Linked DNA regions of Canis lupus familiaris. The protein of the gene in region 2 interacts with the protein of the main gene of each other region in a biochemical or structural test. Links are inferred from orthologs where the notes say so. Each region holds a gene or a part of one and is shown on either strand. Other genes may lie near its edges. The genes, in order: ECT2 and RACGAP1.

Evidence for each region.
Region 1: the proteins of RACGAP1 (region 2) and ECT2 form a complex in vitro, tested with the Homo sapiens proteins (3 studies listed by BioGRID and IntAct, with this or other methods). The link is inferred for Canis lupus familiaris from reciprocal best matches to the Homo sapiens genes RACGAP1 and ECT2.

The regions. Positions count from the first base shown.
Region 1 is NC_049255.1:37,204,728-37,207,943, forward strand, and holds the end of ECT2 (protein ECT2), read left to right. Parts: intron 1-813; coding exon 814-1,080; 3' UTR 1,081-1,081; intron 1,082-2,205; coding exon of another isoform or gene 2,206-2,295; 3' UTR 2,296-2,676; downstream 2,677-3,216. UniProt on the Homo sapiens protein: Guanine nucleotide exchange factor (GEF) that catalyzes the exchange of GDP for GTP. Promotes guanine nucleotide exchange on the Rho family members of small GTPases, like RHOA, RHOC, RAC1 and CDC42.
Region 2 is NC_049248.1:41,943,664-41,947,494, reverse strand, and holds part of RACGAP1 (rac GTPase-activating protein 1), read left to right. Parts: intron 1-1,163; coding exon 1,164-1,217; intron 1,218-1,937; coding exon 1,938-2,018; intron 2,019-2,597; coding exon 2,598-2,715; intron 2,716-3,831.

The DNA.
Region 1 (3,216 bases), on a different chromosome or scaffold from region 2:
TTCTCTTATCCTCATTTTTGCAGCTGAGAAAAAAAGAGGCTAATAGTACTTAACCCTGTAGTGTTACAATAAGGACTAAACACACATACATACACAATGTGATTATCTAATGAGAAGCAATTTGAATAGTGGTTAAGAGCATGAACTCTGAAACTCACATGTTCAAATCCTGGCTCTGCTGTTTGGTAGCTGTATGACTTTTGGCAAGTTATTAAAATCTCTCTGTTTCAATTTCTCTATCAGTAAGATGAATTTAAAGTAGTAGTTGTAAAGATTAATTACGTTAATATACGCAAAGGACTTTGAACAGTTCTTGGAATATAATAAGTGGTTTAGCATTTTATGAATGGTTACCTTTTTTTATATGAAATTTATAGATGAGGTGTTAACGCACCTCATCTAGTAACTCTTATTTTTTTAAAAGCTAGTTAGGTCTAAGTCTTAAACACTTACAGTTAAATGTATGAGTATGTTTATACAAATTTTGGAGGAAGATTAACCTTCCAGTGGAAGGGAAGTTGTGCTTGACAATATAGATATATGCAAAGAAATTTGATAAATGAAAATGAGTTAATAGATAATAGACAATACAGTAAGGCCAAAGTCCTGTCCCTTGTTTATGTCCCGCATCTACATACCTACGTAACTCTTATAAACATTGCTTTTCAAATGGATGTAATTGGAATTCACAGAAAATTTTTAGAAAATTATTTGTAGCTTTTGTCACTTCTTTGTAGATAACATAAATAAGTATGTAAAATATCTTTAAAACATTGATGTCCTCTTCTCAATTGCTTATTTCTGTTCTAACAGATTGTCCATTCTGTTTCCACAAGCAATATAATTGGATTTACTAAGCATGTTTATGTACAGCGCTCAAACTCTACTGGTGGGCGCTCTCAAAACTCCTGGTTTCGATCTATCCGTCATTCTGCCTCACGAGCTAGTTTTTCAGAGATACTAAAAGGAACTATTGATTTTTCAAATTTCAAAAAAAGTCCTATCCAAGTCATCTTTGATATTTGTGAAGAATTAGGAGATATGCCAACCAGTAATGGAAACAAGCCTCGTGAAGTTTAATGTGAGCTTATTAGCTATTTGAAATTTGTATTTGTGAAAAGAAGAAAGTATACTTTCTTCACTGAATCATTATTAAGTGGGTGGGGATTTAGAAATTAGAAATTTTCCTATTTATGAAAGTGAGCATTTTAAGGAATAGTAATAATTTTGATGTAAAGTAGATTTTTATTCCAAATCTGATTCTTAATCTTAGATTTATGGCATTTATATAAAATTCATGCTTTTTAATATGGCAAATCATAAACGCTTCGCTTGAAGAAACTTTAAGCTTTTATACTATCTTCTTAAATCATCTTTGTTATCACTTAAATGGTAATACTTTACCAACGTAGCTCTTTAAATAAATACTACATTTTACTACATTGTTGATGAGAACTTACAATCAGCTACTTGGTTGGCTCTAGGTTTACTTACAGTTAGACATTCATATATGTTAAAGCAATAATAGCTTTCTTTATAATTCATCTTGATTTACACCCACTCTTCAATTTTTGGTGTTCTTGCGCATGTTTCTTTATTATTATTGAAAATTCTGATGATATTTAACTTTGACCTCTGAAACAAATATAGATAGCTTAGTAACTTAATAATCTTCAGAAGTGCTATATTTTGCTGTTTTTACATGGAGCAAAATTATACACCTACACCTATGTATGAATTGCACACATAGTACAAAAACTCTCTAGGAATATATGACCTTTAATTTTAGAGAACAATTTTTCATGAAGTAATTTCACTCTCTTAATTTTGCTTTATGATTAAGAAGAAACTACTAGGGCTTGTCTTTTTACCACAAAAACTTACTAATTTATAATTTTTTTAAAGAACCTGAAACAGTCTTTAATATCACACAGAAATACCCTATTACCAGTAAGCCAGTATCCCAGTTGACTTAATATATAATTAACCAGTCTGTGCATTTCTTTTTGTTTTTCAGAATGCTAAAATACTTTTGTGTTTTTTTCCCATCCCCTAATTTAAATTCATTTATTTAAAGAGTTTAGAATTCTCAGATGTTTTAAAATTGTTACATTAGGTTGTAAAAATAATCTGCATGATGCTAAAATGTTATTTTTTTTTTTAAGAAAAAATTTAAATATAAAAATATTTGTCTTGTCTTTACAGGGTATCCCATCTCCCTCCCTTATCAGCCTACCTTCCTTCTTTGAAAGAAGAAGTCATACTTTAAGCAGATCTACAACTCATTTGATATGAAGCTTAAAAAAAGTCTTAATTTAAAGCAACTTATAAACACTTCATGTTCAAATAAGAAACTGACTTAAATGGTACTTGTCATTAGCACTTGGTGAAAGCTGGAAAGAATATAGATAACACTAAAACTGTCATTTGATTTTCTTCTTGAATGAGTAAGGTTAACCTCTTACATATTTTTGAGTTAATTCATGTAAAAATTATATTGATTTTGATGTAATTTTTCTCTTCACTCGAATCCTTCATTCTAAGACCAATAATTTAAGTTATTCATATTAGTAGCCTTGCAACTTGATAATAGTAAATAAATTATATTGGTGAGTACCAAATACTGCTGTGACTCTCTGTGTATAGTGTCCATGAATGAATTTTTGGAAATTCCTATTTGTGTATCTCAATTTGTGAAGAAATTAAGTGATAATACAGAACTTACTAGATAAAACACCTGCACAGATTTCTGGTTAATAGTGGGGACTTGTTTCAAATGTGCTGTTTGAAGTAGTTATTTAACTGTTCTGTTGCAGTTTATTTTATTCTCTAATGTTTTCAAAATGTAGAGTGTGGGTTTTAAAAGATTTGCCCTTATTAACAAGAATAATAATTAAAGGAGATGGTTTTAAAATACTTTTGCAAATTGAGATAAGAACAGAGAGTTTAAAAAATAATGTATATTTTGGCAAACATGGTATTAGTATATACTTGTAACTTTTTCAGGGTCCATATATTTTGAGTGATTTTAGCCACTAGCAAATCTTCATTTAGTTTGATAGTGTGAGGAATTTTATTTTGAAGGGTAAGACCATGGGGGAATTGTGGTATGGACTATTATATACTCTATGAGATAATTCTAAAATTGGCATCAGTTTTACTAATCTGCTATAAGATATGTAGATATGTGTATGGTCTACCTTTTATTTTGGTCTC
Region 2 (3,831 bases):
AAAGCTAGCAAACAAAGCAGTAAATCAGGAGGTAATTCCTGGTTGGTTTTCTGATAGTGTGAAACAAGTGACAACTACTTATTAAATGGGCTAGGAGCATTACATCCCAAATCAGTGTTTGGGGAAATCATTGCCATTTTATAGATATAAATAGTAGGTATCACCTTTTTGAAATATAGAATGATATGAATAGGTTTGGGATATATAGTAAAACTAGAACCTATTAATAACTGATTTGGGAGCTAGACCAAATATGGTGTATCTGTTATAATCCAAACTGAATCAGATAATCAGTAGCTAAATTAAATTACTTGACCAGGAATTGGAGAGTTTAGATTTCATTTAGCTAAGCTACCATTTGCTCTCTACTGTTTCTGGGTTTTGTGTTTTCAGAGATTATCAGGAGTAAGTCATAGGTGGTTCCTAAAAGTGAATGTAAATGGTTATTTAAGTGAAGTGAAACTAGACCACGGTAAAAAAATTCTTCAGTGGTGAATGTCTTTGTTGGGGCCCAAGGAAGAGGATGTTTGAGAAATGTAAAGCCTGAACTAGAACTTGTTAAGTGGCTACATTGTACAGAACGTCTGGTTAGATGATAGCAATCCCTTAAGAGCAAGAAGGACATGTAACCTGATCAGTATAGTACCTGAGCTTCTGTGAGTTCTACAACTAATTACAGAAATAGTCAGAAATAAAGGGCCAGGCACTGGAGATAATCACGACAGAAGTTGATTCTTTAACCTTTTCTTGCCTCTGTGGTATTGACTCCTGACTCTATTATAATAGCTTCAATTTTGGAGATAAAGCAAGTTAACTCACCATAGCTCTATAGCTATAGCACTTGAGACCCTCCCCTTTCCCTCTCCCCAAATTGTCAGGCAGTCTGTCTCAAAAAGCTTTTCGAGGGGCGCCTGAGTGGCTCAGCAGTTGAACGTCTGCCTTCAGCTTAGGGCATGATCCTGGGGTCCTGGGATCGAGTCCCACATCAGGCTCTCTGTGGGGAGCCTCCTCCCTCTACCTGTGTCTCTACCTCTCTATTTCCCATGAATAAATAAATAAATTCTTAAAAAAAAAGCCTTTCAAGTTTTCTGTAAATTTATTTGCACAGGGTTTAGGGGAGGCCTAACCACAGAGAGAAACTAATGCAGTGTAATTGTCAACAGGATTGGGATTCTTCCTTGGTAAAGACTTTCAAACTAAAGAAGAGAGAAAAGAGGGTACGTATGGTTTTATTTAGTTTTTGCTGTTGTTTTTACAAAATTACAATAAAGGAATTTTCTCTAGAAGTTTTTCCATGATACAGCATTCCTGACTTATGTTGCTCTAATCATTTTTAAACACCTATTACAAATGAATTCATCCTGGGGGCTGTATTGCCAATCCTCGAGGTAGTAACTCAGGACAGAATCTTGTCCTATTTCACTGTTCTGGCTGCCTCAGTTCATTCATATATTGGAAAAGGATTTACTTAAGTTTGTTTTGAGTTGTCATAGGAATTTTTACGCAGGACTTTTGTACTCTAAAAAATTTTCAGATGAAGTACGTGTATAATGGGATATGCAGAGCTCTGTCTGTGTGTGCTTGTTTAGGGTACTTAATATGTGTCCAAAGACTTCATGTCTTTTGATAGGATTACAGCTCTACTTTTTCTGGTGCTGTCATCTAAATTTTTCCAAAGCTTGGTTGTTTCTTCCAGGGCATTGAGGGCATTTTTGTGTTGGTACAACTTAAGCTTTATGTGGAAATAGAATGATATATATAACTAACTAACTAACTAACTAACTAACTAACTAACTAACTAACTAACTAACATTGTTATTTACCATAGCCCTGGTACCTAGGACTTGTACCCAAGTTGTCTAATGGAATAATGTTATCTTCTGTGCTTCAGGTCTTCTATTTGGCACTAAACTAATTGGTCTTTGTCTCCTTTCCAGCGCTCTAGTAGCCGACAGTTCATTGATGGTCCCCCTGGACCTGTAAAGAAGACTCGTTCCATTGGCTCCACAGTAGACCAGGTAAGAATAGTCAGGCCAAGAGAATTGTGGTTGTGAACACATTAGAGATTAGTGGCCCCAAGCACTAAGAATCCTGAGTCAAGGGGCACCTGGGTGGCTCAGTCTGTTAAACATATGATCCTTGGGGTCCTGGAATCAAGCCCCACGTTGGGCTCCCTGCTCAGTGAGGAGTCTCCTTGTCCCTTTCCCTCCCCTTCTGCTCCTGACCCTGCTTGTGCTCTCTCTGTCTCTCTCTCAAATAAATAAATAGAATCCTGAATCAACGCTGTAATGTTATTTTGAGAGAGAGATTTGGTGAGTTTTTCTGTGTAATAATAGGATCCTTATCATCCACATGAATGGAATCACTCTGAGTAAACAACTGTTGGTTTTGTATTTGATTCTATGTAGTTGCTTATGTGTATGCCTCTGTGACCTATATTTCTGTTCTAAAGTACAAGGTTTCAACTGAGTGTTTTGAGCTAGGGCCTTAAGTCCTGGCCAAGATTTAGGAGTTTTCAGCCACTCCAAAACACCCTATAGTGGAGGGGAAATGAGATTCACATGTTTGTTCTTCCCTCATTTCTACTTTTGTTTCAGGGGAATGAATCTATAGTTGCAAAAACTACGGTGACTGTTCCCAATGATGGCGGGCCCATCGAAGCTGTGTCCACAATTGAGACTGTACCATATTGGATGAGAAGCCGAAGGAAAACAGGTCCATTGGGTTTCTAACTAAATTGCCTGTGTAAAACAACTAGTAAAATTGGGGGAGACTTGGTTTTTTAAGAACCTTTTGAGGCAGGGAGTAGATGTTGTGGGTGGTTTCTTACTGCTGCTTACTGAAGGCCAGGACACTGTCATACTCTACCTTTAGATTGCTAGCCTGCCCTATGCCACTCACATGTAACTCGTTGTTGTTTTTTTTTTCCTATAGATTATTTAAGAGTGAGAGTGGGGGGAGGGGCAGAGGGTGAGAATCTTCAAGCAGACTCCATGAGCATGGAGCCTACATGGGACTCGATTCCATGACTCATGAGACCCTGACCTGAGCCAAAATCAAGAGTCAGATACTCAACCTATTGAGCCAGCCAGGTGCCCTATAATTTGTTATTCTTTTTTTTTTTTTTTTAATTTTTTTATTGGAGTTCAATTTGCCAACATATAGCATAACACCCAGTGCTCATCCTGCCAAGTGCCCCCCTCAGTGCCCATCACCCAGTCACCCCAACCCCCCGCCCACCTCCCCTTCTACTACCCCTTGTTCATTTCCCAGAGTTAGGTGTCTCTCATGTTTTGTCATCCTCACTGATATTTTCACTCATTTTCTCTCCTTTCCTTTTATTCCCTTTCACTAATTTTTGTATTCCTCAAATGAATATAATGTTTGTCCTTTTCCGATTGACTTATTTCACTCAGCATAATACCCTCCAGGTCCATCCACGTCGAAGCAAATGGTGGGTATTTGTCATTTCTAATGGCTGAGGAATATTCCATTGTATACATAGACCACAGCTTCTTTATCCATTCATCTTTCGATGGACACCGAGGCTCCTTCCACAGTTTGCCTATTGTGGACATTGCTGCTAGAAACATCGGGGTGCAGGTGTCACGGTGTTTCACTGCATTTGTATCTTTGGGATAAATCCCCAGCAGTGCAATTGCTGGGTTGTAGGGCAGATCTATTTTTAACTCTTTGAGGAACCTCCACACAGTTTTCCAGGTAACTTGTTATTCTTGAAATGATTTTTCTGCATAGCGATTGTAGTCACTTCTGATTATGGTTACAAATTACTGGTCATCTACCAGTTATATTAAACTTGGGGTTAAAATT